Diceros bicornis minor: one gene and its partner. The protein of the gene in region 1 interacts with the protein of each later gene in a pairwise test. Links are inferred from orthologs where the notes say so. Each region holds a gene or a part of one and is shown on either strand. Other genes may lie near its edges. The genes, in order: BCAR1 and NPHP1.

Evidence for each region.
Region 2: the proteins of BCAR1 (region 1) and NPHP1 interact in a two-hybrid assay, tested with the Homo sapiens proteins (2 studies listed by BioGRID). The link is inferred for Diceros bicornis minor from reciprocal best matches to the Homo sapiens genes BCAR1 and NPHP1.

The regions. Positions count from the first base shown.
Region 1 is NC_080771.1:25,783,256-25,798,840, reverse strand, and holds the start of BCAR1 (breast cancer anti-estrogen resistance protein 1), read left to right. Parts: upstream 1-9,721; 5' UTR 9,722-9,820; coding exon 9,821-9,832; intron 9,833-15,585. UniProt on the Homo sapiens protein: Docking protein which plays a central coordinating role for tyrosine kinase-based signaling related to cell adhesion. Implicated in induction of cell migration and cell branching. Involved in the BCAR3-mediated inhibition of TGFB signaling.
Region 2 is NC_080779.1:17,502,390-17,518,049, reverse strand, and holds the start of NPHP1 (nephrocystin-1), read left to right. Parts: upstream 1-6,869; 5' UTR 6,870-6,876; coding exon 6,877-6,945; intron 6,946-9,524; coding exon 9,525-9,598; intron 9,599-15,422; coding exon 15,423-15,483; intron 15,484-15,660. Other genes in the region: MTLN (mitoregulin), read left to right, coding at 1-52. UniProt on the Homo sapiens protein: Together with BCAR1 it may play a role in the control of epithelial cell polarity. Involved in the organization of apical junctions in kidney cells together with NPHP4 and RPGRIP1L/NPHP8. Does not seem to be strictly required for ciliogenesis.

The DNA of each region.
Region 1 (15,585 bases):
GACAAGAGGGAGCCAGTGAAGACGGAGCAGTCTGAGAGCCGGAGCTGGCCTGGGCTTCTGTGCTTGCAGATGGAGAACTGGCCCGTGCTGCCAGCTACCGCAAGACCCCTGGGCCTCCCAGGATGAGCTGGGCTTAGGCCACCATGGGCCTCAGGGCTGGTGAAGACTCCTTCCTTGTGGATGGGTGAAGGGATTATCTGGGAGGAAACCATTTAAAACCAAAAGTCACATCCTTCTCAAGAGCCTGAGAGCTGGCAGCAAGAACAACACCCTGAACCATTCAGAGCCTCTCAGGCAGCTGCCGTGGCCTCTTTCCAAGCTGAGTCATGGCATTTAGCCTCCCTCCAGGCTGCTGGCTGGCCCAGGGGTTGCTGCATCCTTGTTCTGTAGTCTCACTGTGGCCTGAGTTATTCAGTGCCTAAATCAACATGCCCGGAGGTCAAAGAGTAAGAAGGGAGCCTGCCTCTGCTCACCAAGGGAGCTTTGCTCACCCTCACCCCCTAAAAGGGAGACTCTGCTCCTCCTTCCAGGGGCGTCTGTCATAGGAGTTCTCCCTGGCCAGGAAAGAACCGGAAGTCAGAAGACCCGGGTCCTAGCCCCAACTCTGTGATGCCTTGGCAAAGTCCCTTCCTCTCCCCTGGGGCTAATTCCTGAGTAGGGAAGGGGGAGGATTTGGGCTGAGACTTTTCCTCCCCAGAGTGTCCCAGGACAGTGAGTGGGGTGCTGAGTGGGGAAGGGGAGAGGGACAGGAAAGTAATGGAAATCCCATCCCCACCTGTTTGCTATACTTAAGGCCTTTCTGCAAGCAACTCCCCAAATATGCCCAAGGGCCCGTGAGGAGAGGGAAGTCAATAACTAGTGGCTCCTTAAGTGCAAAAGAACCCGTAGAACTGCAGGCTCATTGACTCATTCGCCTCTGTGGAGCACGCTGGACGTAACTGGCCCAGACTCCCCTTCTCAGGGGCACCAAGCCCCCAGTTGCTGGGAGAGTTGGCTGCTGACTGCTCACAGCTACCCTTCTCTGGAAAATTGCGTTTGGCAGAGTGGAACCTGCCTGGCCAAAGGTTACACCCCACCCCACACCAGGCAGTGGTCAGTGTGTGGCCGACCGGGAGCCTAGCAGGCCAGCCTCCTACCCCTGAGTTGGGACCAGTTCTGTGGTGCAATTCACACTCCAGAGTGCCCTCGGGACCAGGCTCGAGCTGGATTCCAGCTGAGGGCACCACTTCCCTGTTCAGATCTTCCCCTGCTCCCTCCTGCCCACTTGCTCCTCTTCTCTCACGAAGCTACTTTCAGAGAATCCCTGTCTCAGGCTCTGCTTCTAGGAAATGACAACCCCTACAATGTCCTGCATGTATTAGGTACACAATCAATATTTCTGTGTAGGTCTGCTTACCGGGGGCTTCCTTTCCCCCATATCGGGGTTTCCTCCAGGAAACAGGTGCCCAGCAGGAGTCTGATGCCTTAAAACACTGAGAAATTTGGTAAGCAGGGGAGAAAAAGACACATCATTCTAAGGAAATAGAAGTGGATCTCAAAATGGCTGGACCCATCTCTCCCCAGCACCCTCGCTGAGCACCCCACACAATTGCCCCATTGCACAGAAGAGAAAATCGAGGTCTGAAGAGGGGTGACTGGCCCAGGTGGGATGGCAGAGCCGGGGTTTGAAAGTAGGCCTCCCCACTGGGTACTGCTTTCTTTCTTTTTTTTTTTTTTTTTAAAGATTTTGTTTATTTATTTATTTTCCCCCCAAAGCTCCAGTGGATAGTTGTATGTTATAGCTGCACATCCTTCTAGTTGCTGTATGTGGGACGCGGCCTCAGCATGGCTGGAGAAGCAGTGTGTTGGTGCGCGCCTGGGATCTGAACCCGGGCTGCCAGCATCAGAGAGCGCGCACTTAACCTCTAAGCCATAGGGCCGGCCCTGGGTACTGCTTTCTGAAACCTTGGTTTGTCTCTCCCCAGGAGCAGGTGGGGCTCAGGCTGCTGGACCCTCTTGGGGAGCCACTCTCCACACTGGCTTTGCTGCCTACACAGGCCCCCTGAACTCTTGCTCATCCTTCAAGCTCCTGTTTCAGTGCTACCTCTTCCAGGAAGCCTCTGCCATCCTAGGCAGGCCAGGAGAGCAGAGCCTACAAGTCCAGCTTCTCTATCTGGGTCTGTCACTGTGTCTCTGGGTCTTAGCCTGGCATTCGAGGGATGTCCCACGGTGAACATCACTCCATCCCACTCACGGTCTGTCATCCGGATGTGCAGCCTTGTCTTTCTAGAACCTTCTGCCAGACATTCCTTCTCTCAAGCATTGAGCCCAAGGGCCTTGTATAAAGAACTTGCCCAAGGTTATCTTCGAGGCCAGAATTTGGGCCAGCCTCCAGCATCAGCCTCCTCTCCGCTCAGTCCCATCCCCCATCCTTGGCCCCATCCCCCATCCTTCGGGAGTGGGTGTCTCCTGCCTTGGGGGAGCATGAGAAGTAGAAAGCTCCTTGGAACAGCAGGCTGGTGGGTGGAGGGTGGAGAGACTTGAGTCAGCAATTCTGACAGCCCCAGCATTTAACTGATGCTTCCCATGTGAAGGGTGCCACACCATCCCTTATATGCCTTATATCCTAGTCCTTCCAGGACGTTTGAACCAGGGCCACCGCACTGCACAACTCTCGGGGTGGCGGTGGGGGGTTTTCACATAGAATAAAATAAGGATGGGGCTCCTTGGAGTTGTGGGATGCTTCACTAAGCCCCATTTGACAGATGGGATGAGAACATGCTTAGAGAGTAAAAATACTATGCCGAAGCTCACAGGGTAGGACCAGAACCCAGGCCAGCCTGGTGCCCAGACCTGTCGCCCCACCCTGCCACTGGAGGTCAAAGGTGACAGGGAGCCCAGGTTCTTGCCAAAGTGCAGACCCAGCTCCCTACAGCAAGTTCCTTCCTGTTTTCACAAGAGTCAGTCTCACTCCCAGGGAGTGGGGAGAATTTCCCAGCGCCCCTGGGGCAGAACCTTGGCCTCCAGGCAGCAGAGCAGCTGATGGGGGTGGGGGCCTGGTGTTCTTGCCTCACTGAAAACGTGAACTGCTGCTCTGGGGACTCCCACTGGTGGCCCCAATGTGGCAGCTGCTCCTTTGGGCTCTTTAATAATTTAGAGAATGTACACTATTCAGCCAGGCGGCTTCATCCCTGGATTCAGAAACACAATGCCCTGGGGATTGTTTCCAGCAGAGAGTGAAATTCCACTTGTCACAGTGACCAAGTACGCAGCCCTGTTCCTGGAAGGGGCTCTGGTCTCTGGGTGTTTACAAACATCCTAGAAGACCAGGAGGCCATCGGCCAGGGCCCTGGACGCTGAGGTGGGAGCCCGGGTTCTGCCTAGCTCGGCAGGGGGCCCCTGGCAAGTCCCTTCCCCTGTGTCTCCTGCCTGCTCCAGGGTGATGGGGCTGCGAGAATCGGTGTGTGAGTCCAGGGCCTTTTTCTGTTCGCTATTCTGCTGCACCCCCTCCCCAGCCTCACTTGGTGTCTGACCCTGGGAAAGATCCTTGCACCAGGCCCCAGAGGGTCCATAGGAATATGTCCAGGATGTCTTGCATTTCCTAGAAATTGGCAATTGCATTTTCCCCTCAAAAAGTGTTCTTGAAAAAAAAATTACACTTGAAAACATTTTGCTAAGTGCAATAAGCCAAACACAAAAGGATAAATATTGTATGATTGCACTTACATGAGATACCTAGAATAGGCAAATTCACAGAGACAGAAAGTAGAATGATGGTTGCCAGGGGCTAGGGGGAGGAGGAGAGGGGAAGTAATTCTTTAATGGGGACGAAGTTTCTGTTTGGGATGATGAGAAAGTTCTGGAAGGGATAGTGGTGATGGTTGTACAACATTGTAAATATACTTCATGCCATTGAACTGTACACTTAAAAATAGTTAAAATGGTAAATTTCATGTTATGTATGTTTTACTACAATTTTGAAAAGTGTTTACTATAAAACAAATTGCACAAGTAATAATGTTCATTTGAGAAACATTAGAAAATAGAGAAAATAATTTTAGTTACACCAAAACCTCCTCCCCTCCTCCAAAAAACAAACAATTAGTCTCCTGTGAGATTATAATCCACGAAGACAGAAAAAGCCCTATTTATTAACCAACACAGTACTAAGGTCCCAGTAGGCCCTCCCTAAATATTACACAATGGTGAAAAAAATCCTACCCCCACCCCAGGATAACCACAGCTGATATTTTAGTATCTGTCCTTCCACACTGTTCCCAATGTAAATAGATGACATAAATATAAATATATGATTTTTTATGAAAATAGGATCCAACTGTACCTATTATTTGGAAGCCTAGTTTTCCTAACTTAACAGTATATTGTAAACATATTCCCATGTCATTCCATATCATTAGTGGCAGCGCCCAGGATTGGATTCTGTCGTGTGAATATTCCATGATTTGTTTAACTGCTGCTTATTACTAAATCGTTCCCACGTTTTCCTGATCATAAGGAACGCTGCAAGTCACGTCCTTGCACGTATGTCTTTGGCCATTTGTGAGTGCATTGTTTAGGGTAAATTCCTGGAATTTCTGGGTCAAAGGGTCTGTGCCTGTTGGGAGTTTTTGCCTCGTCTTGCCAGACTGCATGCTGGAGCCACACATCATTATAGCTATTCCCACGAACAGCGAGGGATGCTGCTTGAACTGAGTGAGAGGATTCCTGCGTTGGCCAAACTCAGCCATGGCGGAAGTTCAGTTTGTGGGGGCCAGGGGTCCCCCTTATACACGCCTGAATCCCCGGAATCTATGACTAGGTTACCTTACAAGGCAAGAAGTGCTTTGCAGGTATGATTAAATTAAAGATCATGAGATGGGGAGATTTTCTTGGATTATCTGAATGGGTCCAGTGTCATCACAAGGTTCTTATAAGAGGGAGTCAGGAGTGCCAGAGTCAGAGAAGGAGATGAGATGATGGAAGCAGAGGTCAGAGTGATGTGGGGCCACAAAAACGGGCCAAAGAATGCAGGCGGCCTCTAGAAGTTTAAAAAGGCAAGGAAAGGGAATCTCCCCTCGAGCCTCCAGAAGGACTGCAGCCCTGTCAACTCATTTTGGATATCTGACTTCCAGAACTGTAGGATCAATTTGTGCTGTTCTACACCACTAATTTTGTAGTAATTTGTTACAGCAGCAATAAGAAATTAATGCATCTCCCCGCTGCCACCACGTCCTGAAGCCCCACTGTCTAAGGGACGATGGTTTCCTTCTGCACCCAGCAGCCTGATGACCTGAACATTACTCCCTCCCCTAAGCAGATGCCCCCCAGGCAGAGTATACCCAAGGTTCTGTGCATGAGGGACAGCCAGGGAGGTGCCCTGCCCCAGCCCCCAGGACCCACCTTCAAGAGACTGTGAAATTACCCTCAAGGATGTTGGAAACTGGGCTTATTTAAGGTCATGAAGTAAGCGTGCAGTAGTGCCAGGACCAAGGCCTAGCTTGGCAGGTCAGTGGGTTCCCCATTCACTCCACTCAGCTGAGCTTCTCTCTCTTGCCAGTCTGACTTGCCTTCCTGGGGAGAGGTAGTCATTAACACTTTAGAATGAGTAAGACAGGACATCTGGCTCTGGGTACTCCCCCACCTGTCAATATGGTGTTACTACAGAGTAGTAGAGCTTGAATCTCATGTTGAAAACCAGGCTTGGGGTGGGTAGTTCCCTTGCTCATCCACTCCAGAGCTCACAGGGTCCTGTCAGCCACCCCCAACCGTGAAGTCTCCCTCTAGGTCTTCCAGAAACAAACTCAGTTCTTGCCCTCTGAGGGAGGTGCTTAACCACACCTGGCTCATGTGTGTGGCAATGATGGCCCCTGCTGTTTCATAAGCAAGGATTCTAGTGCCCTGAACTTTACCTGAGTCATTCAACCGAATCCTTTCAACCACTCAGGGAGTTTTCCCTCTCAATTCACAGATGAGAAAACCGAGACCCTGGCAGGTTAACTCACATGTGCAAGATCATTCAGCTGCCAGGAGCAGAGCAGGATTCAAACCAGGTCTGACTGCAGAGCCCAGAGCTGCCTGGGGTTGGCCTGCAAAAGAATTTCGTTTTGGCTTACTCAGTCAATGGTTCAAAATCAAGAGATTTTATAAAACAATCTAGATTTCTAGATGCTCTTGAAAAAATCTGATTCACCAACTGAAAGAACTCCCAACAGCCAAAGCAGGAACAATTGGAGCAAGAAAATAAAGTAGTATTGGATTATAATCCAGACTACAAAATAAATATCCACAAGTTCATACTAATATAAATAAATGATTGAATAAATAAATAAATGGAGAAGAGACAAATTTCCCATACAGAAGAATTCCAAATAATTTATATAGATATTCCATCCTCAAGGAGGAACATAACTCCACTCCTTCCAAAGAGTACAGTATAGAAAGTGGGGGAAAAAAGAGTAAGTTGATAGTGGAGAAACCTGACAAACACTGTCTCAGCCAGGTGATCAAGGTCAACATCAACAGAGATAAGTCCTGTTGATAGTATGTATCCTTGATATGATGTGATGAGAAGGGCCTTTTACCTTTGTGATCTTCTTCCTAAAAAACCATAACCGCAGTCTAACCATGAGAAAAACATCGCACAAACCCCAACTGAGGGACAGCCTGTAATATCCCTGACCAGTACTCCTCAAAACTGTCAAGATCATCAAAAACAAGGAAAGTCTGAGAAACTGTCATAGCCCAGAGGAGCCTAGGGAGATGTGATGCCTAAATGTAATGTGGGATTCTGGATGAGATCTTGGAACAGAAAAAGGACAGTAGGGAAAACCTAAGGCAATGTGAGTAGAGTATGGACATTAGTTAATAAGGATGTATCAATGTTGGTTCATCAATGGTGACAGATGCACCATGCTAATGTAGGATTATGACACAGTGCCCACAGGTGCTTCCAAAGGCTCAGGGCATTCTCCTGGGCCAGGGGCCCCTCTGCCAGAGCGGTCCCCAGTTACCCTGGGAGGCAGAAGGAGAAGAAGCCACCTCCCAGGCCTCAGCCCCTCTAGATGCAGCAAGGCCCAGGGAACAGAGGCCAGGCTTGAGTGTTTGGAGAACTGGGTGTGAAGCTTGTCTCTGCCCAGATTTACTCTGTGGCCATGTCCAAATTCCCTTCCCTCCCAGTGCCAGGGACAACAATAACCCCTGTCTCCCTGGGGCCCTGGTCATCCCTCAAGGACCCTCTCAGGGGCTGGTGCCTGCTCAGGCCTCCCAGCTGTTACTTCTGGTGTGAACTGCTAGTCGTGAGGCCCCCAGAGCCTGTTCTCTGCAGGACTGAGTAAGTCATCCTGGGATCATTTGCCTGCTGGAGAGTAGGGGATGCAGGCAAGTGGTGAGAGGAGAGAGGAGCATCTGCTGCTTTCATAGACACCTGGTACTTGTTCAGGGGAGGGCGCTCAGTGCCCTGACGGGGCTCCTCTGGCTGCCCCCAACCCAATACCCAAGGCCCTGGGTCCCTGCATCAGAGTAAGTGAGGGTCTGGCCAGGGAACCTTCTTTCTGCACTAAAAGATGAGTTAGTGATGCCCTCCCTGAGTGAGCAGCCGTAAGCAGTTGTTGGGGGTCAGTTGGAGGCAAGGACTAGGTGGTTTGGAGGTCATGGCCCCAGCTGCACCCCTACCCTGGGTTTCCATTTCCCTGTGCCCAGCAGTGTGGAAGGGGTCTTTCCCCGCTGTTCAACCAGTTCTGGCAGGAGCATCTAGAGATGGGGCCGATGGGAGAGAAGACAGAAACAGTGGACGAAAAGAATCCAGCCAAAGTAGGAGAGGAGGGAGGAGGAGCCTGAGTGCCAGGAGGCAGGCTTAGTGAGGGAGGGGGCCAGCATGGCAGTGGGGGCCTCTGGGGCAGCGGCCGTGTGTGGCTGGGAGCCCGGGTGCCAGGCTGAGCTGCTGCTCACAGCTCAGGAGCCCCTGTGCCAGCTGGATGCGGGCGGGTGGGCACGGGCAGGGCTGCCTGCCAGACACATACAGAGCGCCCTTTGAGGAGGTGGCAGCTGTCGGCCCAGACCCCCCTCTGCTTGCTGTGGCCCTGCCTGCCCCCTCCAACAATGCCTTGCCGAGCACTGGGCTGGGGAAAGTGAGGTACACAATTGGGAACCCCCACTCAAGGGGTAAAGGGGGGCAATGCTGCTCAGTTGGAGCAGGGAGGGACCCCAGCTCATCAGTCCTAGAACCAGGACCTGGGCCTCATGGCAGCTCTCAATTTCCCCCTTTCTTGCACATCTAGTACCCCTCTCACTGCTGGTGGCCGCTGTTAGGACTCTCCCCAGGACCCGCCAGGAGAAAGACCAAGGGACCCTACCTCTTGGGGAGGAAGACTGGAAAGCCTCCAAAACCCCAAAAGATGATCTGCAAATGGGAGATTTTGAGAGCTAGGGAGCTGGGGGCCAGACCTGGGTCTCTGGGGAAGCCCACTTGGCACCTGTCACTGCTTCCTCCTTCTGCTCAGTCACCTTAGGCCTCCTGGCACTGCACACTTGGCAGGTGAAAGAGCCTGCACCCTGGGCACCTGCCCCTACAGACTTCCTAGGGGGCTGGAGCTGTCTGTCTGTCCCCCAGGTCCCTACCATTAGCCACAGCTGCTGCCAGCCAGCCTCATGGAACTGGCTCTGTCTTTCTTCCTCTGGGTGGGCAGCAGTGTCCACTGCCCTGGCCCCTGGAACCCTGGTCTAGGTGCTCACTCATTCTCTCTGGGCAGTAGCAGCCATTTCCCCTGTCTGGCTTTGCCCAGGAAGGGCCCCCAGGGAGCAGGGACAGCCTGTATGTGGTGGGCAGCAGAACAGAGTGGTCAGCGTTCTGCCTTCTAGTAGCTGAGGGATATCAGAGCTAGTCTGTTAAATGTAACATGTGAACAGCAAAGCCTACCTAGCAGGGGGGTGGGGAAATTAGGACGCACATGTATGTGCCCCCTGCCTGTGGGTAAGGTGCCTGGACACCATGTCAGATGTGGAACAGCTGAAGAAATTGGGGATATTTAACCTTGGGAAAGGAAAGCTCTGGCGGCTAATGCCTGTCTTCCAGTGTCTGAGGGCTGGCCCCTGGCACAGGGACGGCTTGGTTGTGGGTGGGCCGATGAGTGGGGGTTACCAGGAGACAGGATCCTCCCTAAAAGCCAGTCCATCTCTGACTGTCAGGGTGACCCGACAATGAGTCAGGCTGTTCCCAGGGAGTCGGGAGCTCCCTATCCCTGGGGGAGGGGCAGTGGGGGGAGCGCAGAGCAGGCAGAGGAACTCTGGGCAGGGCTGCGTTGGGAGTACCGGGGGTCTCTGGGCTTTCAGCCAGGGAGTGGGAAGGGTTCCTAGGAGCCGTGTTCGGCTGACCTGCAATCGCCTTCAGACACAGGGACTGGGAGCCCGGCCAGGACCACAGGGCAGGCTCCCAGCACCCTGGGCTGGGCAAAGCGGGGGGTAGGGGTTCTGGTCTCCAGAACCGGTTGGGTGAACAGGAGATGGTGCGACTCAAGGTGGCCCTTGAAGGATGCGTAAGGGGCGTAGACCGAGCCTCCTCGCCCCGTTGGGCCGACAGAAAACTGCCGGGGTCCAGGGTCCTCGCCTTTAACGCGGCCCCCGGTGGAGGAGACGGGAGGGGGAGGGGCGGCGTGGGGCGGCGCATGCGCGGCGGGGGCTGGAGCGGCTGGAGCGGCCGGACCGTCCGGCCGCCGGGAGCCAGCGGGAGCCCGCGGGGACCCGGACAGCCCCGGACCCCGCGCGGGGGCTCTGAGCTGCGCGGCGGACCGGAGCCCCCAGCCTGCCGGCGTCGCTGCCCGCCCGGGCCCCGGGAGCGGCGGCCAAGATGTCTGTGCCGGTGAGTACCGACCGCCGGCTGGGACCCGGGGTCTGCTGCCCCCGGCCGGGCCTGCGACCTCGCGCCGCGCGCTGAAGGCCTAATGCCGCTGGGGCTCCCGGGCTGGGGGGCGCCCCACCTGGGCCTTCTCGGGCCGGGGATGCGGGCAGGTGGGGGCGTCTCCCCCAAGCCGGCCTCTCTGCCCCTGCCTTTCTTTTCATCCTCTCCCTAGAGAGTCGGGTCGGGCTGGGCTCCGTGCTGTTCTCTCAGGGAGCCCCCCGGAAAGGCTGGGTTGGCAGGTTCTTTGTTGGCCCCCGGGGAACCCCTGGGATAGCTGGGCCAGGCAGGAGTCCGTGTAGTCCCTCAGGACCTCCTCCCCCACCAGGATGGCCAGGCCTAGTGGGGAGAGGTCTATGCTGCTCCCCAAGACCCCCCCACCCAGGACGGCTGATGCACTCACTTTCTCGGGAAGTTTTCCTCTGCCGCTGAACCCCAGGGCGCCGGGCCTGGCCCCTCCCTGCTTCTTAGCCAGGGGGCTTCTCTTCTCACCTAACACCCCCTCTGCCTGGCCCAGCAGGCAGGCTTGGGCAGCCCCCAGGCCTGGCTCCACACTTAGGCCAGCATCTGGAGGCATCTGGGTCCCACCTCCTGAGGGGAACAAGTGATCCTGGCTACCCCTGTCAGGAGGCCTCAGGTCCAGGCCCCAGTCAATGCCCGCTTTACAGATGGACAGACTGAGGTGGGGGCTGAAACGCTGCATCCTGCCTGGGAGGGGCGCCCTCTGCAGGCTGGAAAGCTGTGGCCTCTAGCCATTGTTTCACTGCTGAGTTAGGGGCTTTTCCCTCTGACAGCAAGGGGCGGTGGGCCAGGGCGCCCCTCTACCTGGCCTTGTTTCTGGAACTGCTCCTCACCTAGGGAACCTGATCCTTATGTTGAAGCAGACAGTTGGGGCTTCCTGGCAGGGTGAGTGGCTTCTTAATTAACCACCATAGAGTGTGTGGAGATTACTGGAGGAGAGATGCTGTGTAAGTGCGAAGCATTGTTATTATGGAATTAAAGATCCCGGCTCCTGCCTGCCTCCAGAAGCGGTAATGCAGAGTTACAGATGAAGAAATTAGGGCTTCCAGACCGTGCCGATGTGACCCCCCCATCTGTTCTGGTTCAGAGCATAATTGCCTCATCTTTAGAAAGAAAGAAAGAAGACAGAAAATGCCTGCCAACCCCTTCTTCTCTCCTGCTCTGCTTTATTGCAAAACTCTGGATCTCTTCTGGCCCGAGGACCTGCCCTGACCCTGTGGGCACTGGCCGGAGGGACAAGGTGGACCACCTGAGTCTGCTTGAGGTCCTGGGTCTCCAGGGCAGTGGTGAACAGGGAATGTGACTGAGGCCACATCAGAGCCTGGACGGGCCTCAGTTTGGGAGGTCAGCCATTGATTGGTTTGGTTGTCCCCAGTCACAGCAGAGATCTGGACATGGAGTCTGGGGTGGCAACCAGACCCCTTGCCTTGTAGGACTTTGGTAGCCTTCCTGGGCTGTGTGCCTCAGTGGCCCCATCTGTAACAAGCGAGGGATGGCGGGAGGGCCAGGGTCTGGCTGTGACTTGGACAGACAGGCACTGCTGTGGAGACTTGCAGCCAATGTCTGCTCGGTCTGTCCACACCATTGCCAGCTCCGAGTCACTGCCCACCTTCCCACCTGCAGCCACAGCCCTCAGTGATTCTGCAGGGGGTGGGGGTGGGGATGTCTCACCATCTGCCCCCTACGTGGCTGGCTGTCAGATCATCCTGGCTCTCTCCTGAGACCTTGGGCAGCGTGTGAGCTGATGGGGCTGGGAGGAGAAGTTCATTTTTGGAGCAGCCGTGAAATGTTTGAAAAATTGCTTTCATGTGCTGGTGAGTGGTGAGGCCCCTTGGAGGCTTCCACGCCACGCCCTGCTCTTGGAACCGAGAATGGTGATTGCCCATATGGTGCTCAGGACACATTGGGTTTTAAGCACACCCGTTCATTTGGGCAATCTTTTCCTGGATGGGGCTGACGCAGGCACTTTGGCCCACAGAAATTACAGGATACTTCAGAATGGAATGGGAGGTGATGGCGGGGACAGAAGAGGTTGGGATGGGCCAGGTTGAGCCAGGAGTGACTTCCTGAGTGTTAGAACAGGGGCACCCTCCAGGGATCAGCTGGTCTCACAGGAGGTCTTGGGCCCAGAGAGGGGAGGGCACACAGGCTCCTCCTGACTCCCTGCTCAGTGCTCCTTCCTCTACCCTGAGCTGAGGGCAGTGCTCACGCAGCACCTGGAGACGCACTTCCTGACTGTTCTCTGACATCTGCCTTCCTCTTGGGCATGACCATCTGGCGCCCCAGGCCTGTCTCTTCTCTCTGGGCAGGCAGGAAGCATTCGAAAGGAAAACGGCTGTGCCACCCACTTCAGACCCCTGGTGGGCATTGGCATGATCTGTGTTTAGGAGTGACAAATGCTGGCTGTCCCCTGGCACTATCAGGCCAGAAGTTCCTTGCTGTCTGTTCCTGCCTCTTGTTTCCTGTCTGTGAAATGGGCACAGCCATTCCAGCCCCTCCTCTGCTCCTTTATTGAGTGAGGGACGGGTCCTTTCAAGGAGTGAAGGTGCTGACGTGTGTGGAGTGCCAGGCACTGGGCTCAGGACGTCACAGCCTCAGGGAGGACCTGTGTCTTGCCAGGGTTGCATGGCCACTGAGAGATGGAGCCAGGGTGGGAACCAAGTTGGGCAGGATCCAAAGCCTGAAAGTGAGCGTCGCCCTGCGTGGTCTCTCTAATTGTGGGGGCTGTGGCCTGTAGAGCCGTCCACAGAGGCCAACCTCGCTGAGGGACCGACCCTCTTCTTGTGGCTTTCCAAGCATGAGTTTGTGTAACCCCTTCGGCACCCCTGGGAGATGAGGCAGTGGGAGTGCAGAGAGGCCAGGCAGCTTTCCCAGGGCTCTGTAGCAGGGTGAGTCTAGCCCTGCACAGCCCCAGCAGTGGGCAATGGAGATCAGTGGCCCAGGCGTGGCGCCTGAGTGAACCTCCACCAGCATCCCGGGGCCCACTTTGTGCCTGACTCTGTGCCAGCCAGTGTTGTGCTAGGAGAGCTGGGCAGGGAGCTGGATGCCTCTGCCCTGGGCTCGCCGCCGGCCTGGGCAGCCAGGCTCTGGGCAGCTGAGGCCTGGTAGAACAGGCTCAAAAGAGGACAGTGGGAAGAGGCCATGTCCAAGTCCAAAGTCCTTAGTTCAGTCCCCAAAGTGCCTGGCACACTCCTCCCGCCACATACCCTTGTCCCACCGGGCCGTGGCTCCGCCTGGCCCTCCTTGTGCAGGAAGTGATCTCCAGTCACTTCTGCTCACCCTCAAGTGCTCAGGTAGAGGGCATGGCCCTGGGAAGCCCCCTGGGACCCCCATGTGTGACTGTGTGTGTATTGTGGGTTATTTGGTTGCTGGCAGGCTCCCTTTCCAGACTGCAGGCTTCCTCAGGGTAGACCCAGGCGGTGCAGGCCTGCTTGGCCCCTCTCTCTCCACCTCATTGCCCCAGCTTGCCCTGGCCGCCCTCCAGAGGATGTGGTCCCGGGAGCACCGGGGAGCCCCCACAGACCCATGGCGGTGTCCCTATACAGAGAGCCTGGCGTCTGAGCTGCTGTCTTGGAAGCCTTTTTGGGGCCTGAGTGGGGTTCCCAGAAAGACTGCTTTGGGGTGGGAAGCATGTTTGGTGGGTCGAGGGCAAGGGCTCTAGAACGCATGGTGATGGCTCATCTCTACCTTGAGCGAGTTACTGACCTCTCTGAACCTGTTTCCTTGTCTATGTTATGGGGATGTTAACAGTACGAGCTCTTGGGGTTTTGTGAGAACTTGGCGAGGGTTGCAGAAAGCTCTTAGTAAGGCTGATAAATCATAGCGGCCACTGTTGTTGAGGTTGTTATCTTTATCCTGCTACGGCTGGCTGATGCAGTGGCCAAGACCCATTCCTGGCTCCTGCACAACCAGCCTGGCGAGAGGTGGTCAGCCCCCTGCCCCGGCAATTCTCTGTGGCCTGCCCAGTCTGCCTCCAGTGGCCCTTTCTTTGTGGTCAGTGTGGTTCCCGCCAAGGCCTTAATGGTGGGATGACCCAGCCCCTCTCCTGCCCCGACCTGCCTGTGGGACCCCTGCATCTTGAGCCTTGGATGGGCAGGTACTTGTCCTCACCCCACTGACAGAGTGGCCTCTAGTGGGGCCACCAGCTGGCCCCCTGTGCCCTGTGTGGGTGGATGCTCTGCTCTGGGTGCCCCCAGGAGTGGGTACAGAGTTGCAGGTAGTGGAAGCCACTGAGGCAGTGCAGGCCTGTCCTCGGGTGTGGTCTGCAGCAGCCTGGTCAGCAGGGGACGGGCAGGGCCCTCAGTGGAAGGAGAGAACCCCTGAGGCGGGTCCCGGAACCTTAATGGAGGGGGCTCAGGCCTGTGGATGAGACAGGTGGGCCACAAGGCTGTGAGGGTGGCACCCGCTGACCCCCACTGCCCATGGCTGGGCATGGGGCTTCCTACAGTCAGCTGTGCCTGCCCTCCTGTCTCCTTCTCCCTCTGTGGTCCTCTTGCCTCCCCAGCCTTTGACTTGCCTTGACCACAGCTGTTTGCTTTGACTGCATCCTAGTTGATCCCCATTGTTTCTTTGGCTCCCTCCTAGTCCCTGTTTGCTGGGCCATTGTCTCCCTCTCTTCAAGAAAAAGAAAAAGAGCTGGGGACAGATTGGGGACCTTGGTAGAAGTGGCAGTTGATGCCTGCTCTGGCAGGAGAGATGGTCACATGTTTTGGCTCTTAAGATAATCCCTTCTCTAAGGGAGATTAGAGGCTGAGGGGGCTTTTCACTAATTTTAATTTATTATTTAAACCCCACCAACTTCCGGGGCCGGCCCCGTGGCTTAGCGGTTAAGTGCGTGCGCTCCGCTGCTGGCGGCCTAGGTTCGGATCCCAGGCGCCCACCGACGTACCGCTTCTCCGGCCATGCTGAGGCCGCCTCCCACACACAGCAACTAGAAGGATGTGCAACTATAACATACAACTATCTACTGGGGCTTTGGGGGAAAATAAATAAATAAATAAATAAATAAATAAACAAACAAACAAACAAACAAACCCCACCAACTTCCAAGAAGGATTTGAAGCAGCTTATAGTGAAAGACACAAATAGTCTGGGATCATCAAAAGATCCAGAACTATGTAATGTATGGGGAAGGTAGGCATACACATTTAACTTTAAGCTTCCTGCCAGGCAGGGCAAAAAGGGTAACACAGTGGGTTTAGGATTACAATACCTATCTTTGGTATTCCTAATGCCATGTATTTTTTCCTCTGTGCTTTGTTTTATTTTTACCAGTTGAGACTCTCTTGTTGAGGCAGATTTTACATATAGTGAGATGGACAGATGTTAGGTGTACAGTTGACTAGTGTAGACCCCATGTAACCATCAATCAAGGCAAGATAATGAATGTGTCCCTTATCTCAGAAAGTTTGCAAGTGTCCCTTGTAGTCAGGTGTCCCCCACCCTGTAAGGTGGCCCACATTCTGATTTCTCCCACGTTGGCTTAGTTTCGCCTGTTGTTGAATGTTGTATAAGTGGAAGCATGTACTCTTTGGGGTCTGGCTTCTTTCATTCGGCACAATGGTGTTGAGATTTTCATCCACGTGATATGTATCAATAGTTCTTTCTTCGTGGCCATGCTGAGTAGTGTTCCATTTATGAATGTGAATGTATGTAGTTATCCATTCTCCTACTGACGGGTCTCTGTCTCTAGTGTT
Region 2 (15,660 bases), on another chromosome or scaffold:
GAGGCTGCAGGACAAGCTGGCGGTGACGCAGAAGAAGCTGGACCTGACCTGACGCCCCGCGCCCTCGGGCCCGGCCCCCTCGCCTCGCCCACGCGGGGTCTCGGCCGGCGCCGCGCCGGGCCCGCCTGCCTCCCTCCGCCTGCCGAGCCCGGCTCCTCCCGGAGTGTCGGTGAGCAGTACCTACAGGGGCGCGCTACGGAGAGACGCGGAGCCGGGCGCGTGTCTTGGGGCAGGGGGTCGCTGGATGGCTCGCGGGAGGTGACTTGCGCCCGCAGACACCGGAGGGAGGAGGAGGTTGTGTTTTCCCTAATAACTAACACTTGGGTGTCGTATTTTTAGATCACTGCGTGTGTTTAATGGGAATGTCTTACCACGTGTAGTGTTGCTGCACCTTGACACCATTAAACTTCAAAACGGAAAATACTGGAAAGACCGAAAGGGAACAAGAAAGAATGGACCCTGGAGGTGTTCCTGACACCCTTTTCTCCCCCTTATCGTTCTTTTCAGTAGTATCTTTGGTAGCACCGTAGTACATCGTTCCGTTCACGTTTTGGAATCTTCAATCTGAATTCTTAGGTTACTGGCAGGCTGCTAAAGTGGAAAGAGCAGGGGCCTGGAAGTCAGGAACCTTGTATCTAGTCCTGGCTTTTTTTAATCAGAGCTGTGCAAATTTTCAGGGTCTCAGTGTTCTTGTCTGTTAACACCAGACCTTATAGTTCATGGTTTAACTGTGAATAGAATAATTTGAAATTATAATAGAGTATTATAGAAGAGAATGATTTGAAATTAACCATTATGTATTTCTAAATTTTTTTTTCTCTTTTCTTTTTCCAACAGGTTGTCGAAGATGCATATAGACCACTGGACAGAAATGTTTTTCCTTGCACTTTATGAATCAATTTTATTTTTAAAATAAAAAAATTTTAAACATCTTTGAACCTTTTATTAAAAGGAAAAGGAGTATCTTGCCTGCCATATAGGTTACTGCATCAAGAGATCTCGATTCTCAAAACTGATATATTAGTGCTTTCCAGCAGATGTCTTGTTTCTTAAGGAACCTATGCTAGTTTCTTGGTACAACAGCAAAGCAGAGTTGGCCTAGGGACCATTATGAGTCCTTTTGGTCAGCTCTTTTACTGCGCCTGTTCAGGAAAGCAAGAGGCTGTATAAAAATAACTGAGGTAATAACTGATGTATATAGGATCTTTACACTTCCAGGAGACACAACGTAACTCCAAGTACAGAGTATAAGTTTTTATTGGCAGAAACTTCATTTGTCATTATGGAATGGACATGCAAAGGAGAAACTCGCTTGAATAAAGCTTAGTGATAAATCCAAACTATATTTAAAATTCAAGAGTGAGGGACCAAGTCCCTGGTTATTTTTGATTTGCAAAAGATGTTTTCTAAAACACTACCCTCATTCCTATAAAGAGTAATTTTGTGTCTTAGCCAATTTAATAGCAGCTCTATATTAACGTAAGAAAATTCAGATAAGTTGTTCCACAGAAAGCTGTTGTTTTTTTTTTTCTTCCATTTTACTGAGACCAAAATGCTTTATTACTTCCAACTTTATTTTCATTCTGTGAATGAAGTACTCTAGGACTGAAATATTGGCTCTTAGACCTCCATCCCGTCTGGGCTGCAGTTTGCTGAAGTATCCTAGTCACCATTCCTCATGGAGGCTCAAAGAGTTGAGGCTGCTTGAGACAAAGTGGGTTTCTTAAGGCCCATGGTGTCCCCATGCTGTTGGTATGTGTCTGGTTAAGCCTCTGGGTTATGACCAGTTCTGCCTGTTTGGGCGTATTTATGTGCCATATTCCTGGTGGACCTGGCCTTTCCAACGCTGATTCCGTTCCCATTACTTATGTGCGAGCCCTGACACACTCATCTTCCTCCTGTCTCACCTTAGTGTTCTGTCATCCCTGCCCCTCTAGGCATGTGCTGTTCACACCCCCCCGCCCCCATCCTGTCTAGGTCCTTATGTGGTTTTCAGCCCCCCCATGCCACTCAATCTTCCCTTCTTCTGCTTACTGCCTTTACACTGTCTGTGTATCCCCAGCTCTGTGGTGGCAGTTCCCCTTGACATTGCCTTGGTCGCCGTTTCTCCTCTAGCCCTCTACCCCTGGCCCTGCTTAAATGTGTTTGGTTTTTTTCCCTGAAAATAGTGCCTCACATGGAGATGTTACTTTTTCCATGTTAGCCAAAATTGGCAATGAGGAGGTTGGGACACGGGTTATGCCAGTCATGTACCCTGGAAATGACACCCTGTTGACTTGTTGAAATACATGTCTCACACTCCTCCCTGCCATTTGTCACCGTTTAATCACAGGAGCTACCTCTAGTGGCCCATTTTTACTTCCCTACCCTGCTTCTCTTTCTCCTCCACACTGGGCTCCTCAGGCTTCCTGCTGCATTCCACGTTGCTTCAGCTGTCTCGTGGACCTTGTCCCAGGCTTGGACCTCATCGTCACATTGTACTTGGCCTCTTTGGTTTCAGCTGGTAAACCTTCCTCTGAGGACAGCTCACGTTCTCCACATCTCCCTGTCTGCACTTATGGAACCGCCTGCTCTGAGACCCCTGCTTGTCCCATCCTCCCAATTCAGCTCATCACTCTTGCTGGGCTCCCTGGTTGGCTTAGACTCCATTCTCGCTTATACGTTTACCTTTCACCGCTGCTTTTGCTCTCTTTTTGGGCCTCCAAACTTAGCAGAGAAAGACCCTTCCCCTTTCTCCCTTGGCTACCACAAGTGCATTCTAATTGTAACTGCACCCTTCTGGTTTCTCAGCAGTGTTTCTCCGTGTTCCTTGAACTCCCAGTTGACATCTTTTATTCAGAGAAGACTGCTCTCAACCATATGAGGAGATCAAGGCCATTAGGCGGGAATTCCTTCATGTCTCCTCTTCCTCTCAATAGTTAGTCAAGAGCAATGGTTTTCAACAGGGCTGCATATTATAATCATCTAGGGAGCTTTAAAAATACAAATCCTTGCATGCCATTTCCCAGAGGTTTTGATTTATGTAGTTTGGGGTGTTCCTGGGCATTAGGATTTTTAAAGCTCCCCAGGTGATTGTGATGCTTAGCCAAGGTTGAAACCACTGGTTTTGAGGCTGTGTCTCATTAGCTTTCCTTTCTCAGAAGAGAAGATGCACCAGACCCTTCCAAGGGTGACTCCTCTCTGGCCTCAGCTGAATTCTGCATCTCCCCCCAGGACTTTCTTTGTTCTCTAGTAAACCATCTCTTTCTAGCATCTATACTCTCTGCTTTCCCTCTATTTGCAAACATGTGCAGATCTTGACTTAAAAAAATCCCTTTAGTTGACCCCATCATTTGTTAATTAGAAAAAGTGGTCCACTGTCACTTTCTTCCCAAATGTTTTGCCTGTTAACCTGCTGCAGTCTGCGCTTTGCACCCTCCAGAGCCATTGATAGCTATTAGCTATTTCTGAATCCTTACTTTTCACCTCCAGAGTATTTGGTAATACCAATTTCTCCCTTGAAACTCTCCTTCCCTCACTTCCCTAATAATACAAAACTTTCCCGAGTTTCCAAACTTCTACTCTTCGTGCCTTTTCCAAGTTCCTCAAACTTCAATCCTTGGTCCTCTGCTCTGTCCTTTCGTTTGGCTACCCCAGCCATTCTCTAGGCTCAACTATCACATCCAAGCAGGCCCCCTCCAAGATCTTAGTATCCCACCTGATCCTTTAATTCCAGCTTCACACTTTCAACTGTGTAGTGGACATTTTCTTTGAATGATTTTACTCTAGAACTCAAATGCAATGTGTCCAATTGTCTACAGTTCCATTGGCAGGGAATTCTGTACACGAGGTGATACTTCCGTGACAATCTTTTGTAGTTAGTGCAACTTCACGTTTCTAGTCTGATACCCTAGCTCATAAGCTCCTTGAGGCCAGCACCTTAAACATCTTGTCCCACAGGTCCAACCAGTGCTTTGCAACAGGTGCTCATAAATATTTGTCACTTTTTGTGTGTGTGTGTGTGTGTGTGAAGTAGACTAGCCCTGCGCTAACATCTGTTGCCAATCCTCCTCTTTTTGCTGAGGAAGATTGGCCCTGGGCTAACATCCGTGCCCATCTTCCTCTACATTATATGTGGGACGCCGCCACAGCATGGTGAGCAGTGCATAGGTCCGCGCCCGGGATCCGAACCTGCGAACCCGGGGCCGCTGAAGCAGAGCACATGAACTTAACCACTACGCCGCCAGGCTGGCCCAATATTTGTCACTTTTATTTGAAGTAGATTGTTTTCTTGAAGACCCTGAAATGGCAAAATGTCTCTATCCTCTTTGCTATAATCAATCTCCTGTTGGTTGGTTTCTAACCACCTTGTTCTACTAGTTCTACATTATGAATCTCTTGGAAGCCTTTAAATTCTTTTTCAGTGTCTCCCGTGAGGACGCAATACAAAATTGATATTCATGTTAACACTGATGGAAGGAAATCATAAGTTTTATGAAGTAGCTTGATCTCAAGAGAAACAGTGGCCATGGTTTGCTTTGGTGTCTTTGGGCTACCTCACTGCAAAGCTTTCTTGTTTTAGTTACTTTGATTTTCATAATGGCCTCAAGGGACGACAACAGAAGCAATGACTAGCATCAAGGTGACTATGCTGAGCATTGCAAGAAGTCAAAAGAAATGTAAATTAACGAAAAAGGAGGCAGTTAGCCGAGTAATCTCATCCCTTATTGCATACTAAATACCTAAGTAGTATTTCTCAAACTTGAACGTGCACATGAAACATTGGGGTATTATTAAACCATAGATTCTGATTTTGTAGGCTTGTGGTGGGGCCTGAGAATATGCATGTCAAACAAGCTCCCAGGTGATGTTGATGATGCTGATCCAGGACTCGAATACATGCTTGTATCTCTGAATAAGGTACCATAATGTATAAAGTCAAAGTCATCTTTCCACCTGAGGTGAACGAGAGTAATAAACTTTTGCATTCTTCCTCATTGCTCATACATACACACATATCTAGGGGGCTTATTAGTTTATTTTTACCAACACAGAATTATACTATATTCATAACCCTGTAATTTTTCCATTTAAAATTTGGAAATGCCTATAAATCAGATATAGAATATTTTTCCTAATTTATTTATGGACATATATTTAATTTAAAATACATAAGAATTTCATAAATGGTGGATTGTCTTCAGTGCACTTTTTTTTCTTTTTTGCTGACCTCTTACAAGATTGCTTAGAAGTCTGAGTTATTAATCCATTTAAAAGTATTTTATAGCACTCATTATTTTCTCATTTGTTCTTATAAGCATTTTTAATGGAAATACTATGTCTGGCCATTTAAGTGAACTTTTAAGTATCATGAACCATAATGGAGAAATTAATTCAAAATAAAGACACGAGCTACAAAAAAGCAGACAATAGCGAGCATTGTCAAGGATATGAAGAACTAAAACTCACACACTCCTGGTAGAGTGTAAATTACAACTAGGCGGTATCTACTAAAGCTGAATATAGAACATGCCCTGCGGCTCAGCACTGTGTACATATGTTCACAGTATGTATATGTGTAAATAGCAGCACCGTTTATAAGAGCCCTGACCTGGAAACAACCCCCATGCTATGCCCAGCAACAGTAGAATGAGTGAGTGTATTAGGGTGTATCATACAATGAAATGTCAGAAAGCAATGAGAACGAACAAACTACCACTACACACAATGATATAGCTGCATCTCACGGACGTGCTGTTGAGTGAAAGAAGTGGAGAAGCCAATACTCACTGCATGATTTCATTCTATAGTTTTAAAAGAGGCAAAACAAATTTTTGCTGTTGGAAGTTAGGACAGTGTTTCCCTTTGGTGTAGGCGGTGGAAGTAGGTAGGGACTAAGAGACTACGAGAAAGGAAGACCACTAGGGTGCTGGTAACGTTCTGTATCCAAATTTGGGTTATGTTACATGGGGCGGGGGGGGGGGCTGGGGGTGGGGTGGGGGGAGTCTGTTCAGTGTGAAAATTCAGCGAGGTGGACACGTGGTTTGTCCCTCTCTATTGTCCTTGAAGGAAAAAGTACGTAAATAAATGAACAGTAAGGCAGCGGGGCCTGTGGAATCAACATATGTGTTGTCTTGAAGAACATTCACTTGTATTAGCGAGGTTCATCAACTGCAAAGTGAGCTCAGATCATCATCATTCTTATTCGGCGAAGTGGAAAGAGTTTGGGAACTGGATTTAAAGGATTCAGTCCCACTTGGGGAAACGTCATTACGCTCTCCCTGAGAGTCGATGTAAAACGGGGCTCATCATTCCTTGCTCACAGGCTTGCTGTAGAACAGACAAAATCACCATCCTCACGGAATTCAGGACAGCGTGCAGAAGCAGCGCGAAACGAAACGTCAGCACGACCTCCAACAGCAAAGAATTAAAAACTGCCTTTTGACGTGAGGAGTACGCAGCAGAACCACGCATCATCCCGTGAAGGTCACGCAGGAGAGCTATCCTTGCAGTTAATGAAAGAGTTTTAGGATGCCGAAACTGTATTCCAGGGTTAGTGTAGCAGAAGTGCTATCAGAAAACAACCGCCGTGGTGAGACTGAGGCGTTGAGACGTGTCGTTTCGCCCGCCGCGGGGCCTTCTGCGGCACCCCTCACTCCAATCCTTCGGAATCGGCAGGGAAACTAAAGATGACGGCCTGCGCAGCCACCCTGAGCTGAGGGCTCAGCACCTGGGGGTGGCGGGTGGCACCGCCGGAGAGGACTGTCCCCGCAGCTCCACCGTCCCGCCTGCCCGGCCCCGGCACCGCGCGGCGGGCGCGCCGTGATGGCGTCACCTTCCGGCGCCGTGATGGCGTCACCTTCCGGTGCCGCCGCTTTGGTTTCCCTGGCGACGGAGATGCTGGCGAGGCGGCCGCGCCGTCCCCTCCAGGCCCTGCAGCGCCGCAGTCAGGAACTGAAGCAACAGGTACCGTCCGGCTGTCCCGCGGGGGACCTGGGCACCGCGAGGCGGCCTGGGCTCTGGCGGCGGGCGCCAGAGAAACGGGGCGCACCCCAAGCCCGGGAACCTACCCCAACCCACTTACCTTCCCGCGTTGTAACACCCCGCAGCATCCCGGCACCGAACTCCGATTCCAGCCCCTCACGCTCCCAACCCAACCCCCAGCTGCAGGTTGTACCTCCGGAAAATCGTGGCCATCGACTAAGCGCTCTTCCCACCCGCCTCCCCGCCCTAACGTCTCAAGCTCCAACACTAACAAGCCCTTAACGCCGCTCACCTCGAATCTCAACTTCTAACGGTGACCGTTTCCAACCAACTCTGCGCCCAACATCTCTCCACTCGCCATGCCCCCTTTCCTTTGAGCCGCCTGCGGTTGTTGCTTCACATGAACTCAAGCGAAGTAGGGGTCAAGGAATAGTCCTAATATGTAAGAAAAATATTAAGATATGACTAATGAGCAAAAGACATGAACTAAAGAAAAAATACCAGTAACTCATAAACGTGAGAAATGTTATCCTCAAAGATAATCAAGTAATTGTAAAGGAAATAAGATATCACAAACATTTAAAAAAATCACAATACTCAGTATGGGGAGGGTGTAATGAAACAGGTACTCACACGCACTGCCTCGATGTATAAGGCACAGCATTTCTGGAAAGCAGTTTGACAAGGTGTAGCAAATGTTCATGCTCCTAGGCTGGGTACTTACATTTTCGGGAATTTACCGTAGGTAATAATAAAAAAATTGGGACAGAGATTGATGTATAAAAGTGCTCGTCACAGTATTACTTATAGTAGAAAAGACTGGATACAACTCAAATGATCAGTAATAGGGGAATGGATAAGTAACTTATGATGGGCTAATAATCCTGTGATTAAAATTTTGTTAAAGAGATTTTAATGTTAGGGAAAATATTTGTGATAAAATGTTAAGTTAGAAAAAGAATATAAAGTTGAATATACAGTATTTACAGTAATACAGTTTTTTTCTATATATAATATACATAGAAAAAAGATAGAAGGAAACATGCCAAAATGGTAATTCTGTGTTTCTTTTCATACTTTTTGATCTTTTCAAAATTTTGTATACTGAATGTATATTACTTTAAAAAATAAGAAAAAACTAGTAATTAATGAATTGTTAATTTATTTTCTGAAATTCTTATTGTTCTTTACTAATTTTACTTTTTATTTTTCATTTGATCTATTACCGAGTATAGTTTCCACTAAATAAAATTATTTTATAATCTTTGGCAGACAAGAAATTTACTGAACACTTATATTTTATTCAATTTTGGACTCTTGTTTAAAAAGTACAAAAGATTTGATGGATAAATATTTCTCAAGTGATTCTATTGGAATTATGGTGGGGCAACAAAAATACTCTTCTGGTAGAAATAAATGTAAAACTTGAGGAGGCATTGACTTTTGCTGAGGTTTGGCTAGCCGTATCTAATTTTAAATTTGTTGGGCAATTGGGAGAACCAGGAAAAGCTTCAGAAGTAAACTACAAAAGTTATTATTAAAACAAAGATGAAACAAACAAATGATTATAAGGATTATTCAGCCTGGAAAAGAATTGGCTCAGGAACCGTTTGACAGTTTGGGAAGGGCTCTTGGATAGTGTGAGCTAATTCTTCCCTGTCCCCACAGAGGGCACAGGACAGATTTCCAACTCGATGTCCATCGGACAAGTAATCAAGAGCCCATCTGGGGCATGCCTGTGTTGACTGACTCTGTCACTAGATGTGTGCGAATTTTGTAAATAACAGTTATATAGATACAAAATAGAAGAGTAGAGAAGAAGCTATGGAACTTCTATTTCTCTTTTTTTCATTCACTTTTTTTCCTCCACATCATCTATAGAAAAGAACCCCCAAAAGAAGTGTGTGCCTCTTTTGTGGGTACATTGGCAAAGTTACATGTAGTGTTTGGAAAAAACAGGTCAAGATAACAAGATATAAGAATGAGGATAGGCAAATTCCTGGTATATTCTTACAATGAATACTACTCAGCAATAAGAAGGAATAAACTAGTAATCACACAGCAATATGAAAGTATCTCAAAAACCTGAGGTGTGAAACGATTACACAAGAGTACATACTTTCTGGGGTAATGGTAATTTTCTATATGCTGTTAGGGGTTTGGGTTACCCCGATATATGCATTTGCCAAACCTCAGCAAATGTATACTTAAGATTTGTGCATTTCATTGTATGTAAATTTTACACCAAAATATTGAACTCGAGTTAGTGATACCCATGGTGCGTTATTTTGCGAAAGTGTACTGATGATTGTGGTTTACTTTGACGTACATAAAAAATCAGATGGATCGATGAATGGATGGACCAAATAAGTCTAGTAAAATGTTAAAGGTAGAATCTAGGTGGTGGGTATACGGGTGTTCACTGTAAAATTCTTTCAACTTCATTATATGTTTAAAAGTGTTCATTATAAAATGTTGGGAAAAGAGAATTAAAATTTTATTTCCTAAGGTTATATGGCATTTAACAATATGATATTTTAAACTGTCTCCATTTGTTGCAGGTTGATAGTTTACTTTCTGAGAGTCAATTGAAAGGAGCTCTAGAAGCCAGTAAAAGGCGAGATATTTACCAAAGGTAAAGCATACTAAATTACTTAAACTTTCCAGGAATTGTACTTACATTCCAATGAGCAGTATTTACAGCCTAGAAATTGTTTGAGGCACTATTTCCTTCCTTTTATTTATTAGTACAGTTTCCCAAAAGACAAAATGATAATGGGAAATGATACATATTAAAGTAACAGTGAATGAAATTTCCCAAAACGTATTAAAATACTTCTTGCAATTATCTGTATGTACTGGGTCTAAATATTGAAATGATAAAATTAAATAGAGAATCAAAAATGTTTAAAAGAGGCAAGTTAACGTTTATTTTGTACTATGTATGTACCAAGCAGTGTGGTCCATGCTCTAAAAACTTTTTCTTAATTAATTTTCACAATAAGCGTGAGATACTTGTTAATGCAGATGAGAAAATTAAGGTTCACAGTGGTTAGTTAGTACATCTAACATTACTATGCTATAAGACATTGAAGTGGGAAGACAATAAAAATGTTTTAAGACGGCTCAGAAATGCAGAATTCAGTCAAGCAAGGGAAGGAACTTAACTGCCGTCTTCAGTGGAGTTTCCGGCTTTGGTCCCTTTGAATTAAATGGAAGAATTACATCATAGTTAACTGGATCTAGGAGAAACCAACCTAAACCTGAAGGTTATGGACTTGCTGTTGTGACAGCAACTATGAAAACTGTTCAGAGGGAATGTCTGTGGCTTAGGCAGAATTACAATAGGCCCTTGGCCTATGTAGCCCCAGATCCTGTGACCTCGTCAGAAATCTCTATTAGCAGGATGGTGACTCTAACTCTCTTGAAATGGGAAAACTGTTCTCTCGGTGGGTAAGTGTTTTTTTTGTTTTGACATTTTTTTTAATCCATGGGAGAGTTTAAAATTAAATTGAGTTTAAAATTCCATAGACATGATGAACTAAATCAAATTAGATTTTTAATGCTTTTGTATTAAGTTTAGGACATCATTAAGATAATCTGTATGTTGTGGGTATTTAAAGAGTTTATAACATTCAAAAGAACAAGAGATTCATTCTGTTAGTTTAAATGATTCATTAGAATCACTTGGAAAGTTTTACTTAAGTCAGGCATTCAAAATGTTAAAAGCAAAATAAAATTTAAATTTATTTTAAAGTGTTGAAGGGAATTTAATTAACTGTATTTATGAGTAAGATGGATTGTTTAAGGAATTTAGTTCAAGTTGAATTCATCAAACAATAATGAAAGAAAAAGTGAAGGTGATTGCACTTGCTTTACTAGATTTAAAAATAGAATAAGATTTATAGGCTGAATTTGAAGTCCCAGGGAAATCTAGGTTTTTAAATTTTATTTTAATAAACTAATAATTATTTTTAAACCCAAGTAACCATAAATAGTCTTCTCTGTGTATAAAATGATCCCCTCACAGTCATTTAAAAATGCACATTGACATTTGCATGTCTGAAAATATCATTTTGCCCTTATGTTTGATTAATAATTGGCTGGATGTGGAGTAAAAATAATGTCTACTTAAACCTTTGAAGCCTTGTCAGGTTTCTTTACACTCAGTGATGCTGATAAGTTTGATGATCATTGCCTTATCATTGACCTGTTTGGGGCTTTTCTCTCCAGCTTTAGTGTTTTGAAATTTCAGATGTATTCAGGTATTGTTTTTATCCTGCTCAACACTCAGTGGGTCTTTTGAGTTTGAAAATTCTTGTCTTTCATGAGTTCTGGGAGATTTTCTTTTACTAAAAGATTATTTGTTACTTCTCTTTGTCTGTTTCTTCCTGAAACACCTTTGAGTCAGGTATTTAATCTCCTGGACTGTTCCTTAGATTGCTCATCTCCCCCTTAACGGTTTATGTTTCTTTGTTTTTGTTTATGCCTGGAAGATTCTCTTGACTGTTTATTTTAACTTTTCTATGCAATGTTTTATTTCAGCAGCCATATTGTTAATTTACCAGTGTTTTTTCTTGTTCCTTGATCTTTTTTCATAGCATCATGTTTTCAGATTATCTCCTACTTCTGTGTTAGGAGATTGTTTTTTAAGTTCTCTTCTATTCTCTGAGTTGTCTTTGGTTCCTCTGGGCTCAGATTATTTATTTATTTACTTTTGGTTAGTTTTAAATTTTATCTTCCATGTTGCTGGTTTTCCTTATTATGCCTGGTGGTCCTTGGGTTATCCACTTTTATTTAAGAATAAGAGACTAGGTTGATTATTCTAGGGAGCTGTCACGGGTTCTTCTGCTGTTGTGTGTAGGTCTCTTTCCTACTAGTACTGTCTTCTGAATGAGAATGCGGTTCTTTGTACACGGGCAGGGCTTCTCAGGGGCCTAGAACTAGCCTTTAGTCTGAGGAGCCCCCAGTGCCAGCACAGGTTTATCCCTGGGTCTGATTCTCTCCAGGTCGTTCATTAATTTTAGAAGGGCCTTGTGGTAAGTAGAGAGGGATGAGGTAAGAGAAAGGGAAGCTGTCAGGTTTTCTGTAAAATAGACTTTTTAAAAAGTCAAAGACCTATTATAAAAGGGCCTTAACTACATCTAAACTTAATCGGTATCTTTCCTCTTTCCCTGAATAATGTAAAGACCTGAGATTGTCTTAAGGCTGATTTTCCTCTTAATAGCTTAGATGTTATGGATATTATTTAATTTACATAATATAGTATAGAAAGCAAACCCCAGCCATTGTGCGTGTCTTTTCATCTGTAGACCCTCATAATGCACTGCCTTGGACACACTTTGGTCAACCCTTCTGTCCTTCATACCTGCTGACCCAAATGGTGGCATTTTCTGCCTGGCAGATCATGTCCCTCTTATGCTTGTGTGGCTACTTCCTCTCTTTATAGAAGAATATGGTTCCATCCTTTTTCCATGCAGCAGACCTTTGTTGAAATCTCTTATTGACAGGTGGTCCCTCTTTCATTCTCTTGTGTCCAGGGTACATTACCTTTTAAAATGTTTTAATCATTTTTGTGGGGGTTTCAGGAAGCAGTGAAGATGAATATGTGCTTAGTTTTTATCCTAATCCAAAAGTCTTAAAATATCTGAACAGTTTGAGGATTTTAATAATTTTATAGATAGGAAGGAGATAATTATAATAAATAATTTGTTTTATTTGTATAGTATATAAAAATAGTTTTCCACTCTGGCTCTTACATGAAATCTCTGAGTCTAAGTTTCGGTTAGGATTCTTTTGGTCAAGTAACAGGACATCTGTTAAAGCGAGTGGCTTTGCTGTCAGTCTCATGCAACAAAAAGTCTGGGGGCAGGTTCTCCCAGGGTAGGTCGGTGCTCTTGATGCCCTCAAGGACCCGCCCTTGCCGTCCTTCTGCCTCGTCATCCTCAGCTTGTCAGGAATGGCCCCCCTCACTGTTACCAAGTCCGCAGCATCAGTATCTAAAAGCAGAAAGGAGGAGGATTCTTTACGTGCTGCATCAGGGAGGGTAAAATGGAGGAATTGCCTAACGTATTTCTTTGCTGCTTCGTTGGCCAGCGCTTGGCCACACGCCCGTCCTCCCTGCAGTGGTGGCCGAGCGCTTGGGTGTCAGTGGGAGGCCCCCCTGCCCGCATAGAGTAAGGTGGCAGAGGGGTTGGGGGTAGGTCACAAGCAGGGTCAGCACAGTTTGATGTTTCCACTTCTCTTTTTCTGCCTCTTTCAGAAAGCATTTTTGTCCCCTTTTTCACTACTTATTTCATTAGCCCCTGTAAAAAGAAAAAAGAAACGGCTCAAACAGCAGAAAAAATACGGACTTTTGCAGGTTATTGTTTGAAAAAGCGTTTGATTTCTGAAAACTCACATCATTAGCTGTAGCCCATTTTCAGTAATTTTGGTACTTCTCATTTGGGTGTCTAAGACTTCAGCTAAATTATGTGAGGTGTCTATGGAATAATTAAAACACTGTGCCAGTATGGACAGGCCAAGTTCAAAGGGGAAGTGTGCTGTGGTGAGAAGAGGCAGCTGGAGAATCCTAAACTCTTCCTTCACAGTGTTCCTCTACCGTGACTGGCTGTGGTCACTTTTTAGAACCTCACTGTCTTCAGCTGGAGTGACGGCTGTTGTGAGGCTCAAATGAGGTGATGCTTGTAAATGCTTGCCATTTTGCTCATGCACAATAACCTGTAGCTATTATTGTCGTTATTAGTTGTGTCTCCTTGGCTAGGTGCTAGGTTTATGGAATTTTAGAGCTGGAGAAGCATTTTAAAGTCCAATGCTTGTCTTATTTTAGAGATAGGAAACTGAAGCCCAGAGTCACTCAAGCTTTCTGAACCTTGGGTATCGTATGTGTGTACCTTAGAGCTTGGCTGTGAGGATCACCCGAGCTAATGGGTGGAAAAGCGCTTACATGGGAATTTTTATTTATTTTATTTATTTTATTTTTTTATTTTTTATTGATGTCTTAATAGTTTATAACGTTGTGAAATTTTGGTTGTACATTTTTGTTTGTCGATCACCATAGTATGTCTCCCTTCACCCCTTGTGCCCACCTCCTACCCCCATTGCCCCTGGTAACCACATTACAGTTTTCTCTGTCCATGTGTTGGTTTATATTCCACATATGAGTGAGGTAATACGGTGTTTGTCTTTCTCTTTCTGGCTTATTTCACTTAACATAATATCCTCCAGGTCCATCCATGTTGTTGCAAATGGGACGATTTTGTCTTTTTTTATGGCTGAGTAGTATTCTCTTGTACATATATACACCACATCTTCTTGATCCAATCATCAGTTGAGGGACACTTGGGTTGCTTCCACTTCTTGGCTATAGTGAATAATGCTGCAATGAACATAGGGGTGCATAAGCCTCTTTGGATTGTTGATTTCAGGTTTGTTGGATAGATTCCCAGTAGTGGGATAGCTGGATCATAAGGTATTTCTATTTTTAATTTTTTGAGGAATCTCCGTACCATTTTCCATAGAGACTGCAACAGCTTGCGTTCCCACCAGCTGTGTATGAGGGTTCCTGTTTCTCTACATCCTCTCCAACATTTGTTGTTTTTTGTTTTGGTGGTTATAGCCATTCTAATGGGCGTGAGGTGATATCTTAATGTTGTTTTGATTTGCATTTCCCTGATGATTAGTGATATTGAACATCTTTTCATGTGTCTATTGGCCATCTGTATATCTTCTTTGGACAAGTGTCTGTTCATTTCCTCTGCCCATTTTTTGATCGGGTTGTTTGTTTTTTTGTTGTTCAGTTGTGTGAGTTCTTTATATGTTATGGAGATTAACCCCTTGTCAAATATATGTTTCGAAAATATTTTATCCCAGCTGGTGGGTTGTTTATTCATTTTGATCCTGGTTTCATTTGTCTTGTAGAAGCTCTTTAATCTGATAAAGTCCCACTTGCTTATTTTTCCTTTAGTTTCCCTGGTCTGAGTAGACGTGGCATCCGAAAAGATTCCTTTATGACCAATGTCAAATAGTGTGTTGCCTATATTTTCTTCTATGAGTTTTATAGTTTCAGGTCCCACCTTCAGGTCTTTGATCCATTTTAAGTTAATTTTTGTGAATGGCAATAGCAGATGGTCCACTTTCGTTCTTATGCAAGTGGCTGTCCAGTTTTCCCAGCACCAATTATTGAAGAGACTTTCCTTTCTCCATTGTATGTTCTTCGCTCTTTTGTCGAAAATTAGCTGTCCGTATATGTGTGGTTTTATTTCTGGGCTTTCAATTCTGTTCCATTGATCTGTGTGCCTGTTTTTGTACCAGTACCTATATGGGAATTTTTTAACATTGTTCATACAGTGGCTAATTGCCTTACCTGCTTGAAGACTTAAGTATGACTTTATAAAATAACTTTCTGGTTCTGACAATAGAAAAATTAATGTTTTTTTCCTGTCTTTTTTAAAATTTAGATGTATCCAATTAAAACAGGCAATAGATGAAAATAAAAATGCTCTTCAAAAACTAAACAAAGTAAGTATTACAGTTAATCTTATTATAAAAAATCTGCTTTTATGCAAGTATTTTCATCAAGTGGAAATTCGTTACAGTGGGTAACTTCCTGGGTTTGTGTTCGTGACGAAGTCTAATGTGGTCAGCGCTGGCCTGCCCGGCACGCTTACTGCGTGTGTGCTTCGGAGTGGAAAAGCC